Saccharomyces cerevisiae S288C: one gene and its partners. Changing the gene in region 1 together with any one later gene gives a genetic interaction. Each region holds a gene or a part of one and is shown in the gene's direction. Other genes may lie near its edges. The genes, in order: IPA1, UBA1, SPO7 and PAU13.

Region 1 (3,560 bases):
ATATTCCCTAAATGGTTAACAAGAAGTTCGTAAATCGATAAAGCCAAATATTTGCATTGCCTTTTGTTTTTGTTAATAAGTGCAAAAATGTTCGATTCGATTCCAAATACAAACCATAAAACAATTTTTAGAAGCTGAGACTCCCAAAGGTAGTCTATAATGAGACGCCTTCCGTTTCCTTCATCGTAAGTTCCAAGCAATTTGAATAATAATTTCAAACGCACTTGATGGAAGTGAAGATTGCCTGCATTCACTTCGGAAATAAAAGATCTGATGTGATCCGAGTCCAAATCATTTAAATATCTAGGAAAGCTCTCCTTATCATCAAATGCATTAGATTTCAGGAGCGCATTTAGTTGGAATAATTCCTCATTTTCGTTAGAACCACTGGACAAGTAGTCATTTTGGTTAAAAATATCAGTATATCTACTACTCCAAGATTTCAAACATTCATAGAGATCAGTATAGGGAATAAATTTTTCGGGTTGTTTGTCACTAGAGCCAATGATAAATTTGGAAGCAAATGTGTCAAAATCGCAAAAGGGTAGAATGTGAATATATGACAACAACGTGTTGAACTCACCAAAAAATCTTTTATGAACGTCCATAACAAGCTCTTTTGAGTTTTCTTGTTCTCTTTCTTTAAAGCGTTTACTACTTCTTTGAAGAGGCTTCGTGCTATCGATATGTTCATCAGTTCTCTTGTTAGGCCTTGCTTCTTCATTAGTTTGGATATCCGATGGAGCTAAATTCCCACTCTTATCATCTGCTCGTACACTCTCATTATCTTGCTCTTCTTCTTGTCGCTCAGACTCTCTATCTAAAGATGGTGTATTATTAATTGCTTCCGATAGTTCAAACTTAACCGCTTCAATAGGTTCTTCAATTTCGTTATACGGATCCATATTCCTTCCAATAAGAGACGATGTTTTAACGCTGGGTAGTAAGTTTTTCAAAGCCTTCGCAACTTCATCCCATGATTCTTCATTCAAAGTGACATTAAACACGTCCAGCTTTTTCATTATTTCCTCATCTTGCTTTTTCATTTCTGATATTCTAGAAAGAATTGGACCAAAAGCTAGTGGTTCCGGCTTAATATCTTTGTACTTCTCCAAATGATATCTCTCAAAGATTGTGTTATCCGATAAGTTGGGGACTAATAGTTTGTTCGTGAGTTCTACGTAGTTATTCATCATCAGAGTCAAATCGTTCAAAAGAAATTTACGATGTCGCCCCAACAAAAGTGAAAGATTTTCCTGCTTAGTGAATTCATATTCTGATATTAAACGTTCCAACTTGACACTATTAAAGCTCTTGAAGATGCGAGCCAGCAAATCTGTAACTGCAAAATCAGCATCGCTATGTTGAATAGACTCAACCAAGTTCTCAACTGCTTTTAAAATACAATTAACTAGTTCTTGTGAGTTCAACCTTTCATAGTTATTCTCCAAATACAGATGATAGTACATCCCTCTGTTCCTATAACATAGATATCGCAGGTTATCTAGCGTAGGAGAAGAATTGCGATACATGCCCCACCTATCAGGCTTGACGACATCAATCTGGAAGAGCTCTTGGAATTTGCTGTCCGACTTTTCGAAGTCCTTGTTTTTTAGATCAATCAGAGCGTCCTGCAAAATATTAAAACTCTGTTCTATTTGAAGCTCTCTTGAATGCTCCTCTGCTTCATATTGTTCACCTTCGATGTTTGAATTGAGGGCATTGAACATAGACATAATAAGCTTTATCTAGAATCTGTGTTGAGGTTCTAACTCCTTAAAGTGCCTTTACGGACCTGCCTTGCTACCGTCTATTTGTATTTCTGCTCTTCCCAACGTAAACAATTCAATAAATAATTTCGCGATGGCACATAGTAACAAGCTGTTAAATCGAAGTAAAGAAAAGGAAAGTCAAGAAAACAAAGAGAGAAACAAATGCAAGGGTGATGGTTCAATATGTGGTAGAATGGTTACCAAGGATACAGAGCATTTCAGTGGTAGTAGAAGGTTGGAAGCAGGTGGAGATAAAGAACTTGAAGGACACACTCATGAGCATATCTGGTGATGAAGAACAAGTTGAAGATATTTTACTTCCAGTAGAAGTTGAAGAAAAAGTAGACGCTTCTTACAAGTTCAAAAACAGAGGTAAAGACTTAGAATGGATGACGAAGTTAAGAAGCAAATCCTCTAAGATATATGACAGTTCTATCATGTCGCTTCCAGATGGAAGATGGACTAAAGAAGAGCTTCGCTCAGATTCTGATTTCTCGATAGAATGTCTTAACTGTAAGCAAAAAATTATAAGCAAAGATAACTGTCAAGTTTTGAATGATATGCCTTCAGAGTTTTGGTTCGAGTTAATGGATTATTGGCATTGCCACAAACCCGATGTTAAGGAAGACAAGTCTTCCTACACAAGATTTGAAACGCTAAAACCATCTAAAAACGAAATTTTAATTGGAAGCTCTTATTTTCAAGGCACTCCTGCGACTTTTGAAAATGTAGCGACTACAAAGGAAAATGATAATGTTTTATGCATAAAGTGCTCAGCAGTGTTAGGCCAAGTAACTGCTGGTTCGCTTTATAAACTACACAAATGGAAACTGCAGTTAATACGCAGTGGAAACACATACAAATTTCCTCCAGAATGTGACATTACAATTTCTTTAATAAACGTAGTTAAGGCAAACTCTTGTCGTTACGTACTAGTAAAATGTAAAACGGAATCATTGCTAGTTTGGATATTTTCCGTTGACATTGGAGTCACATTGACGGGAAACAAAAGCTTCAAGAGAGCGATGAAGTTGCTTTACACAAACAGCGTTACCACAATAAATCGATGTCTCAATCGACAAGTCGTCGAGGAATTAGATTTCCAAGAAACATCGTTTAATGCTTTTTACAGCGCCCTTCAACATACTAATGCACTTTTACCCTCAAGCATGAAAAAAATTGGTGAATGGACCATTAGCTATACATCACTAATCTAATTTTAAGAACCATTCTCTTTCAAATTTGTACAAATATTGTCATCAAGTAATAAATAGCTTCTTTTTTTTTTTAACATACAGTTGTAGAATTAACTTCGTTGGCCGAAGAATTGCACAACAATAGCGTTTGTTATATTACTAAATATAGGGGCTTTCTTGGGAACGAAAGTGAAACAAACGCTTTTAATACAATGAAGGTCGAGAAATCATCTAAAGGCTTGGAAGTTTTAGTGAGGACACAGGAGGATGATCTAGAGGGGTTCTCTTTCCTGGAGATTATGGACCGCGTAGACCCTTTACCATTAGACTTCGAGAATTACAAAAATTTCAAAGAGGGCATTTACTATATGTGTACACACGATGGCACAAAGATCGGTTTCGTGTTGAAATTTGCGATAAATGAAATGGAGACTGTTTGCTCGGAAATCTTCGAAGAAACCTTCCAATTAGATGAATCTAGACATGAGTTAAGGTTTAAAAGTGAAGATTTTGATCATAGAAACAATCTAATTGACCAATTGGCTCGTAAAATGTATTTAGAATCATCCTTGAGTGGTGTGAAGGGCTGGAG
Region 2 (5,171 bases), on another chromosome or scaffold:
CTTCTACAGTGTACTTCTTGTGTCTTACACCCATGATAATTCCATTTTCGGTACTCGCAGTAACCTTCAAGCAGGATGGTAGGGACGATTCTGTCCCGGCCAATGAATGGTATCTTGTCACAGCAATACCTTGCGGCACGTTCTTGAAAATTCCACAGTTGTCGTGAGAGATTGGGGACGTTTTACCGTGGACAATCTCACCAGCGTAGGCAACTTCACCACCAAATACGTCAAACATGCATTGCTGGCCCATACAGATTCCAAATACAGGAATTTTCCCAGTAAAGTACCGGATACAGTCTCTTGAAATGCCAGAATCTGTCTTTGGGTGGCCTGGTCCAGGCGAGATAAGCAATGTGTCGGGATTCAAGGCGGCAATTTCTGGAACTGTAATTGCATCGTTACGGTAGACGCTCACTTTGGCGCCCTCCTGGCACAAGTACTCGTAAACGTTCCAGGTAAAGGAATCGTAGTTGTCAATTAGAACCACATGCTTATTGATTGGGTTTGTTGCAGCGTGCACAGACATTTTTTTCTTACTTTTATGGCGTTCTATGTAGAACCAAACAGATTTGGTAATGTGTTAATACTGACCAGCTCCTTGTCGAACTTTTTGCGTACCTTAATATCTGCTATAGATTAGAATGAGTCAACGAGCCATTGATGATCATTCAATGATTACTACAAGAGGCATTTTCCGTCGTCAGTGATATGAATAGCACGGTGAGGTCCAGAAGAGATAGTAGGAAGTTTAATACTGGCTCAAAGGCATACTTATATCGACAAGCTAAGCGCAAATACTACTTTGTGGTACATCATCAGCATTGCTTTCGAGAAAACAGCATTTAAAATCAGCCATTTGCTGCGCTTTCTTTAAGCCCTAACAGAAAATAGTTCAAAAAGGCCTATAAGAAGCAAAAAAAGTGAAAAATACGAAAAAATACTCCAGCGGAGGAGTATAAAAGGGAGGAAAATACAAAATGTAGTTGTGTTGTTACGCATCTCAAAGAAGAAAGAAGAAGAAGAAGAAGAGGACGTCGCACTTGCAAGCAAAAACAGCGACTGGCGCGAGAACAACAAACACTAATGCATGTCTCTGTCCAGCAGGAAAAGCGAGCCTTAGTGTTTCTTATTTTCTCGTTCGCCTCACTAGTTTGTAGTAGGGTGGGAGAAACGATGGAGTGGATTGTATGATGAGGAACCAGATAGGGACAACAGATTCTCAAGTGACGAGGAACATCTTTTAAAGCCCAGTTTTTAGTAGAGCTTAGGGCGCCTTTACTGACTATCCACTCCTTGTTAAGCTATGATCTTGTATTCATGTGATTGTAAATAATATTAGAGCTCTTTCTTGAATTGCCATTACGCTTCCATGCGGCATATTCTCGTGTAGTGTGACAAAAGGTGCGGGTGGCAAATAAAGGTAAAAGAAAATGATCAAAAAGGGCCTTTAAGTAGGATGAGCAACCGCCAATCGCTGGATATAAGCAAACAAAAAGTAAGATTAGTAGCAAAGCAAAGAACATATAACTATAGCTATGAGCAGCAATAATAGTGGTCTCTCTGCCGCCGGAGAAATCGATGAAAGTCTTTATTCTCGTCAACTTTATGTGTTGGGTAAGGAAGCAATGTTGAAAATGCAAACCTCCAACGTATTAATTCTCGGCTTGAAGGGGCTAGGTGTTGAGATAGCGAAGAACGTTGTGTTGGCAGGTGTCAAATCTATGACCGTTTTTGACCCTGAGCCGGTTCAATTGGCAGACTTATCAACCCAATTCTTTTTGACCGAAAAGGATATTGGTCAAAAGAGAGGAGATGTGACCAGAGCCAAATTGGCAGAGTTGAACGCATATGTCCCGGTTAATGTGCTGGATTCCTTAGACGATGTTACCCAATTGAGTCAATTCCAGGTCGTTGTCGCTACGGACACTGTTTCTTTGGAAGATAAGGTGAAAATCAACGAATTTTGCCATTCCTCCGGTATTAGATTCATTTCCTCGGAGACAAGAGGGCTGTTTGGTAACACCTTCGTAGACCTAGGTGACGAGTTCACAGTGTTGGACCCAACGGGTGAAGAACCTCGCACTGGTATGGTTTCAGACATCGAGCCCGATGGAACAGTGACCATGCTAGATGATAACAGACACGGGTTGGAAGACGGAAATTTTGTCAGGTTCTCCGAAGTAGAAGGTCTTGATAAGTTGAATGATGGGACCCTTTTTAAAGTTGAGGTTTTGGGGCCCTTTGCATTCAGAATTGGTTCAGTCAAAGAATATGGCGAGTATAAGAAGGGCGGTATCTTCACCGAAGTCAAAGTACCCCGTAAAATCTCATTCAAGTCTTTGAAACAACAACTGTCCAATCCTGAGTTTGTTTTTTCGGATTTTGCTAAATTTGACAGAGCTGCTCAATTGCATTTGGGATTTCAGGCTTTACATCAGTTTGCCGTTAGACATAATGGTGAACTGCCAAGAACAATGAATGACGAAGACGCCAATGAATTAATCAAGTTGGTCACCGATTTGTCCGTTCAGCAACCGGAGGTTCTGGGTGAAGGTGTAGATGTTAATGAAGATTTAATCAAAGAGCTTTCCTATCAGGCAAGAGGTGACATACCGGGTGTCGTAGCATTTTTCGGTGGCCTTGTGGCACAAGAAGTGTTAAAAGCATGTTCTGGTAAATTTACTCCGCTAAAGCAATTTATGTACTTTGATTCCTTGGAATCATTGCCAGATCCTAAAAACTTCCCAAGAAATGAGAAGACTACTCAGCCAGTAAACTCTCGTTACGATAATCAAATCGCGGTTTTCGGTTTGGATTTTCAGAAAAAGATTGCCAATTCAAAGGTCTTTCTTGTCGGATCTGGTGCCATTGGTTGTGAGATGTTGAAAAATTGGGCACTTTTGGGGCTTGGTTCTGGCTCCGACGGTTACATCGTTGTTACGGATAACGATTCGATCGAAAAGTCCAACTTAAACCGTCAGTTCTTGTTTAGACCAAAGGATGTCGGAAAGAACAAATCTGAAGTAGCGGCAGAGGCCGTTTGTGCTATGAACCCCGATTTGAAGGGCAAGATAAATGCTAAAATTGATAAAGTGGGGCCAGAAACTGAGGAAATATTTAATGACTCCTTTTGGGAAAGCCTGGATTTTGTCACCAACGCTCTAGACAATGTCGACGCAAGAACATACGTAGATCGCCGTTGTGTGTTTTATAGAAAACCACTGTTAGAATCTGGTACCCTAGGTACTAAAGGTAATACTCAAGTCATCATTCCAAGATTGACTGAATCATACTCTTCTTCTAGAGACCCACCAGAAAAGTCTATCCCATTGTGTACCCTACGTTCTTTCCCAAACAAGATTGATCACACCATTGCCTGGGCCAAATCTCTTTTCCAAGGTTACTTCACTGATTCCGCCGAAAACGTTAATATGTACTTGACACAACCGAATTTCGTTGAGCAAACACTAAAGCAAAGCGGGGATGTCAAGGGAGTTCTAGAATCCATCTCAGATTCTCTATCTAGTAAACCACACAATTTTGAAGATTGTATCAAATGGGCAAGGTTAGAATTTGAAAAAAAATTCAACCATGATATCAAGCAGTTACTGTTCAACTTCCCCAAGGATGCCAAGACTTCCAACGGTGAACCATTTTGGTCCGGTGCTAAGCGTGCTCCAACACCATTAGAGTTTGATATTTACAATAACGATCACTTCCATTTTGTCGTAGCAGGTGCTAGTTTACGCGCTTATAATTATGGTATTAAAAGTGATGACTCTAATTCTAAACCCAACGTGGACGAGTATAAGTCCGTCATCGATCATATGATAATTCCAGAATTTACTCCAAATGCCAATTTGAAAATTCAAGTTAATGACGATGATCCGGATCCAAATGCCAACGCGGCTAATGGCTCAGATGAAATTGATCAGCTGGTATCATCCCTACCAGATCCTTCTACTTTGGCTGGCTTTAAACTGGAGCCTGTAGATTTCGAGAAAGACGATGACACTAATCATCATATTGAATTTATAACGGCTTGTTCTAACTGTAGAGCTCAAAACTACTTCATCGAAACTGCTGATCGCCAAAAGACCAAATTCATAGCTGGCCGTATTATTCCTGCCATCGCAACAACCACTTCTTTGGTTACTGGTTTGGTCAATTTGGAATTATATAAACTGATTGACAACAAGACAGATATTGAGCAATATAAGAATGGCTTTGTTAATTTAGCTTTGCCATTTTTCGGTTTTTCGGAACCAATTGCTTCACCAAAGGGAGAATATAACAACAAGAAATATGATAAAATTTGGGATAGATTTGATATCAAGGGAGATATTAAATTAAGTGATTTAATTGAACATTTTGAAAAAGATGAAGGGTTAGAAATAACAATGCTTTCTTATGGCGTTTCTCTTCTTTATGCCTCATTTTTCCCTCCAAAGAAATTGAAAGAAAGACTAAATCTACCAATAACTCAATTGGTTAAATTAGTGACTAAGAAAGATATTCCGGCACATGTATCTACAATGATTCTCGAAATTTGCGCAGATGACAAGGAAGGAGAGGATGTTGAAGTTCCTTTCATTACCATTCATCTATGAGTAACTAATTAACCAAAATAAAAAAATAAATTAAATATATACATTAAATATGTATATATATATGTATGACTTTTGACAACTTTTTCTTTGGTAAAAACTTATTATTATTATTATTATTATTATTATTAATGTAGTCTCGAATATTTGAGTATGTTTTAGTTTTTTGTTTTATATTTTCTTTGGGTTTAACTGCTTTGGTTGGAAACAATTTGGAATAATTCCCCGCGATTATTATATAAAGTGTCGAAGTTACCTCGCTCAACCACTTTACCATCTTTAAGAACTGCAATCGAGTTACAAGACCTCATCATTTGTTCACTATGCGTTATAACCATTGTTAGTAGAGCAGGTGGACCTTTTTTGACGATCTCATTGATGATAGAGGAGCTGACAGAATCCAAGGCTGAAGTACACTCATCTAAAATCAGAATTTTTGATTTTCTCAGAAGTGCTCTGGCTATGCAAAGCCTTTGCGCTTGTCCACCTGACAGTAAAGTTGTATCAATACGTGTATCCAAGCCCTGAGGTGATGAAATTACAAAGTCATGGATTCCTACG
Region 3 (3,148 bases), on another chromosome or scaffold:
GCAGAAGACACAAAAGATAAGGTGTTCGGTTACTTTATTCTGCTTTAACGCCATTATGATTATACACATTGTATTACTTATTTTTTAACCTGTATATTAAAACCTTTATTTTATTTCACATTACTCATCATGTGGAGTACTGGAATTGTATGCCAAACTTTGCCGGGAAAACTGGTATATTGCCGTTTTCTGTATCAGTTGCTGATATAGATATTGCATTATCATTCTTTTCATCATCGGATAAACTTTCTTGAAAGCCTCTAGTGAATACCAGCTCTGTCCCGGCAGATATTAAAAATCCCCTCCATTTGCCTTCCCATAATAGTTTTAAAGTCTTGTCACGTAATGACGTGCTTAATTTCCAAACACTGGTAAAAATGGAACTATTTATTTTGTTATCAAATTTTTCGATGGTAGATCTTTCTTCATCGATTTTTCTTAATGACGACGAGAATGCATAAGTTAAATCATTTAATAGCTTTTGTTTGTGAACAGGTATATCTAGTGTAGAAGGAATATCGTTAACAGCTGAATTCAGATCCGGTACATTTTCGTGCAGTAGTTTAGTCGCTCTGCTGTTTGGATTTATATCAACCAATTCGTCGGAGATTGGTTCTAATTTATCATTATTGTTTTTATTGGTTTCAAGCAAATGATGCTTTTTTTGCCAAAATTCGCACCCAAATGAAAGATTTGATTCAATCGAATAAAGATTAAAATCATACTTCGCGCAAAAAGTAGAATTTGTCCCTGTCTTGGCCGAATATGTGGAGGATATATGGCCGAATAATGGATTCCAAGATAATGTCAAAGTTAGTGGTCGTCCTGTGTTTGTAGAATGTGTGTAATATCTTAAAGTTGTCGAACAACCGGGGCTTAAACTTACTAACCCTAACCAAAATTCAGCACCAAGCGACAACGAAGAATTATTGTACAGTGAGGTGTTAAACTTGGAAGGCGTGGTAAGGAAATTGTGTAATACTCTATAACCACATAATAGATCACTGGTGGAAAATATCCACTCCTGTAAATTGCGGTGAGAATCTCTTTGAAAATAGCACGTTAAAACGTTTAAGCTTTCTTTGAAACTACTGACACCCTTAAGCATAAATTGGGTTTGTGGACTTAGTCGTTTTATTATCATTGCTTCTAAATCAGAGCTGGGGTAGTACATTCTACCATAATAAAGGGATTTTTTAACAAATTTCGAGTCATGTAGTAATTTCTTGTCATTGTCGACTGTGGTGTTGTCACTACTCAACGTATTCGCACTACTAACACTGAAATTGAGGTTTGGTTGCAATTGTCTGTATGTTTCGGTGGCATCTTGTAATGGGATATCAGTAGAGTTGCGCATGAATTTCTCCAATTGCTGTGCATCGGAGTATAAATAACTCAGAGAACCATTTATCCTGGACCTCGTAGAAAAATCTAAAGAATTGAATGTATTGGGAGTAGATTTGTTGGAAATTTGCAGGTGTATTGCTGAGGGAATTCGGAAATCTAATAATGTTCTCGATGTGGCCGTTATATCCTCGTAGCTATTTTGCGTACTCCAATGGGTGCTCTGATAAAATGCCCTTAGTACTTGGTCCATATAGGGTAGCATCAAGATCGGTCTTCTCTGTTCGTGTCTTTTTCCTAACGTATATTTGCTTTGTTTCTTCACTCAACAATAAAGTCAAAGTAAAATTAAATACTAATTATTCTTAAAAGGGAAGATGCGAAATTTAGCGAAAATCTATTGATTATACACACAAAGGAAGAAAGGTAGTGGAAAGCTAAATAAAGGAGGTCATGGAGCCAGAGAGCATAGGCGATGTGGGGAACCATGCCCAGGATGATAGTGCCAGTATAGTGTCCGGGCCTCGCAGGCGTTCTACTAGCAAGACATCCAGTGCGAAGAATATACGGAACTCCAGTAATATCTCTCCAGCATCGATGATTTTCAGGAATTTGTTGATACTGGAGGATGATTTAAGACGCCAAGCTCACGAACAAAAGATACTGAAGTGGCAATTCACTTTGTTCTTAGCGTCTATGGCCGGTGTAGGCGCATTTACCTTCTACGAACTTTATTTCACTTCAGATTATGTCAAGGGCCTCCATAGGGTTATTTTGCAATTCACTCTTTCTTTCATTTCCATTACTGTAGTTCTTTTTCATATCAGTGGACAATATAGAAGAACTATCGTCATTCCAAGAAGATTTTTTACCTCTACTAATAAAGGGATTAGGCAGTTTAATGTGAAGCTAGTTAAAGTACAGTCTACGTGGGACGAGAAATACACAGATTCAGTAAGATTTGTGAGTCGAACAATTGCTTATTGTAATATTTATTGTTTGAAAAAATTTCTGTGGCTTAAAGACGATAATGCCATTGTGAAATTTTGGAAAAGTGTCACGATACAATCCCAACCGAGGATCGGAGCTGTGGATGTGAAATTAGTCCTCAACCCCAGAGCATTTAGTGCAGAGATTAGAGAAGGATGGGAGATTTATAGAGACGAGTTTTGGGCCAGGGAAGGTGCTAGAAGACGCAAACAAGCGCACGAACTCCGACCTAAATCAGAATGAAAGAGTTGGAGGGCTTCTTCCTTCGAATAAGAGGTCATATTTACCTATGTAAAATTGTAACCATCTATGTTCACACATAAATTATATTTTATACATTATTAGAAGTGAAGCTGTTGTGTCGTGAAAATTTTACAAATCCGTCATTTCATATTTAAGTTTTCCAACAAGTGCTAGAAAACCTAGGGGTTGTTGAAATTGGTTAAACAAGGCATCTTATTATACATACAACAGCATAACGCTAGAGGGGCAAGAAGGAAGAACTTAAAATAATAGGTGTAAAATGACTTTGGCTTTTAATATGCAACGGTTGGTGTTTCGTAATTTGAATGTTGGGAAGCGCATGTTCAAGAACGTCCCCTTATGGAGGTTTAATGTCGCCAATAAATTAGGAAAGCCCTTAACTCGCTCTGTAGGGTTAGGCGGTGCTGGCATAGTTGCTGGTGGCTTTTACTTGATGAATCGCCAGCCTTCTAAGTTGATATTCAATGATTCTTTAGGGGCAGCTGTCAAACAACAGGGTCCCTTGGAACCAACTGTGGGCAACAGTACGGCAATTACCGAGGAAAGGAGG
Region 4 (2,804 bases), on another chromosome or scaffold:
AAAATATAAGTGCCCAATTCGATGTGTAATGAACTATTACCAGAATCGTTAATGTTGGTTGCTCCATTACTTCTCATCTCCAGATCAGCATATATACTATTCATATTGGAATTCACAAGGTACGGGGTAGCCACCAACTTTTTAAAAACCTGATAGCAATAACTGCCATCGTAGAAAAAAGATCTATCTGCACATATACGACGGTCATATACAAATTGGTTCATGTCATATGCAATCCGGTCCCATGTGCTCAAGTCCATGTTAGGTTTATGTGTAATGACTTCCGCTAATAGTTTGAACTTACAATCATCATCTAAACATCTTAACTTATATCTTGAGCAGCTTAAGTAAGGTAAGAGGAGTAAAAGGAATAGTGAAATTGTAATTAGTAAAGCCGCTAAGATAATAATCAAAGTATTACCGTGTGCAGATAATGCCAGGCGGTTTAAGATTATGGTAATAATAATATGGATGAAAATATATGAAATGAATACGATATTCTGTTTTAAGAAATAAGCGCATTTGCTGGGGGTTATGTCCCTTGGAAGGATCACTGTCTCACCTTCGCATAATTTTCTTAATCCTTCTGGTCTTGGTTTAGAATTAGATATTAATAATTCTGAACTCATAGCCTTAGCGGGCCCTCACTTGCTTTTGAATTTGTCTTTATACCACAAGTTAACAATTACATTTTCTATATCCTTTTTATATTGTTATAATTCGGGACTTAAAAGCGGGAATATCTAGAACTGGGAGGATTGCATCATTTTTCTTGGCCCGTATGTTTTTCTTCGAGTTTTGGCCGCAAGACGAGTAAGAAGAGGACAGAAATAAGTATGTTGCATAACTTTTGTAGAATTTACCAGAAAAACTCCAATATAACTTACTTCATTATGACATATAAGCTAGATCTTGATTTCTTTCGTCAACATACTAAAGCACGCTATCGGAGACTTCTTCAAACCCTTTCTTATGAGAACACTTAGCTGACTGTACATTTAAGAAGCTTTAGAGATGAGCCGTCACCATGAATATAGCGATGGTTTTGTCTACAAGGAATACCAACTATTAATACCATTTCCTACAGAAAGTTTTTAATTGAATAAAATACATTAGCGCCATATATTGCCTTTTTCACTTTTCTTTATATCTAGCTAGAAGAAAAATACTGTGCCTCGAAGAATAAATTTTTCCCACCGCACAGAGTTGTAGTACTGCTACAAACTGAACTCAACATTTTTTTTTTACCATACGCGGCTCTTCCAATACTAGCTGCTTCTCAGCGGCCTACAATTACGTAATTGCGTCAATGAATTTCCTGAGAACGCTTAAAAACTACAAACTCTACAAATAAGCGACTCCCAATACACGTTTTCTATTTTTAATTAAACTATCAGGAGAGGGATAATATAGTATTACCTCTTCCATTGGAGGCTGTTTACAGCAAATTGAATATGGGCTTAAACATAAGAATCTGTACGAGGGTCCAAATCTAAAATTCGGATATTCTTTTTGACCGAAAACGGAAACTTCAAAGGCACGGAAAAGGGTTTTATAAGGCACTCTGGCACCCCTATAATAGGCATTCCCACATTCTGCGCATACGAATAGACAAAGGCCCCAGAAAACAATACCTTCGCATACGGAATCTATAAAGATGCATGCCTCGTTTAAAAACAATAACATCTTCATAGTGATAATCAAATTCTGTGAAAGATGAGATATGGAGAATATGCGAGGTACTAAATGAGCGTCTGTTAACGAATCGTTTAAGTAGTGATGACTGATGAAGGCATGGGTATAAATAGAGCTGCTTCAACTATATGCCTTTGAGAATATGTCTTTATTCCTTCCCTTCCTGTTAAGCTTATATCAGCACTAACAAACATAACAAACATAACAAATACAATGGTCAAACTAACTTCAATCGCCGCTGGTGTCGCTGCCATCGCTGCTACTGCTTCCGCAACCACCACTCTAGCTCAATCTGACGAAAGAGTCAACTTGGTTGAATTGGGTGTCTACGTCTCTGATATCAGAGCTCACTTGGCCCAATACTACATGTTCCAAGCCGCCCACCCAACTGAAACCTACCCGGTTGAAGTTGCTGAAGCCGTTTTCAACTACGGTGACTTCACCACCATGTTGACTGGTATTGCCCCAGACCAAGTGACCAGAATGATCACCGGTGTTCCATGGTACTCCAGCAGATTAAAGCCAGCCATCTCCAGTGCTCTATCCAAGGACGGTATCTACACTATCACAAACTAGAGACAAACGCCTTTACGAATGAAATTCCATAAAACTTAAAAAAACAAAAAAAAAAAAGCTTTTTTTTTTGATAGTATAAATAGTTGATTATATTAATGTATACCAGTATTATAAAACCTACTTGATTATTCATGCCGTTCTTATCAGAAGTATTTACTGTAGTGGTAAAATATAGTGCCTTGATAATCCAATAGTCTTGTCTGTCTAAAAGGCTTCAGTTGAATACCTTCTTTCGTACATGTTGCTATTTCAGGGTATCGGGCCGGAGCATTTACCATTTGCGGCGTAAATGCTAAAGTTAATAAATCTGAGTCTTCCTGTTTTATGAGTCAGATGGAGGTGTAACGCAAAGAGTAAGTTAATCACAGAAAAAGGTTAGTATCCATTACATATTTATGTTATAGAACATATATGCGTATAGAGACAGAAAAATTGTTTAATAATAAAATCACCCACGCTTGCGTAAGACGTCCTTGAAGTCTTAATTAGTCCAGCTATAGTTATTAGCTATACCAATTGAAGAACCAATCGGT

The links.
Region 2: mutations in IPA1 (region 1) and UBA1 together harm fitness more than expected from each alone (negative genetic interaction), as found in Saccharomyces cerevisiae (one large-scale study listed by BioGRID).
Region 3: mutations in IPA1 (region 1) and SPO7 together harm fitness more than expected from each alone (negative genetic interaction), as found in Saccharomyces cerevisiae (one large-scale study listed by BioGRID).
Region 4: mutations in IPA1 (region 1) and PAU13 together harm fitness more than expected from each alone (negative genetic interaction), as found in Saccharomyces cerevisiae (one large-scale study listed by BioGRID).

What each region holds. Positions count from the first base shown.
Region 1 is NC_001142.9:693,961-697,520, forward strand, and holds IPA1 (putative polyadenylation protein), read left to right. Parts: upstream 1-1,945; coding exon 1,946-2,989; downstream 2,990-3,560. Other genes in the region: HIR3 (Hir3p), read right to left, coding at 1-1,736; YJR142W (uncharacterized protein), read left to right, coding at 3,181-3,560.
Region 2 is NC_001143.9:37,625-42,795, forward strand, and holds UBA1 (E1 ubiquitin-activating protein UBA1), read left to right. Parts: upstream 1-1,538; coding exon 1,539-4,613; downstream 4,614-5,171. Other genes in the region: TRP3 (bifunctional anthranilate synthase/indole-3-glycerol-phosphate synthase), read right to left, coding at 1-529; ATP-binding cassette a-factor transporter STE6, read right to left, coding at 4,799-5,171.
Region 3 is NC_001133.9:134,057-137,204, forward strand, and holds SPO7 (Nem1-Spo7 phosphatase regulatory subunit SPO7), read left to right. Parts: upstream 1-1,797; coding exon 1,798-2,577; downstream 2,578-3,148. Other genes in the region: SWC3 (Swc3p), read left to right, coding at 1-20; MDM10 (Mdm10p), read right to left, coding at 128-1,609; FUN14 (Fun14p), read left to right, coding at 2,858-3,148. UniProt on the Saccharomyces cerevisiae protein: Regulatory component of the NEM1-SPO7 complex which acts as a phosphatase and dephosphorylates the phosphatidic acid phosphohydrolase PAH1. Essential for the formation of a spherical nucleus and meiotic division.
Region 4 is NC_001140.6:11,390-14,193, reverse strand, and holds PAU13 (seripauperin PAU13), read left to right. Parts: upstream 1-1,908; coding exon 1,909-2,271; downstream 2,272-2,804. Other genes in the region: DFP4 (DUP240 family protein), read right to left, coding at 1-629; PXP3 (Pxp3p), read right to left, coding at 1,345-1,692.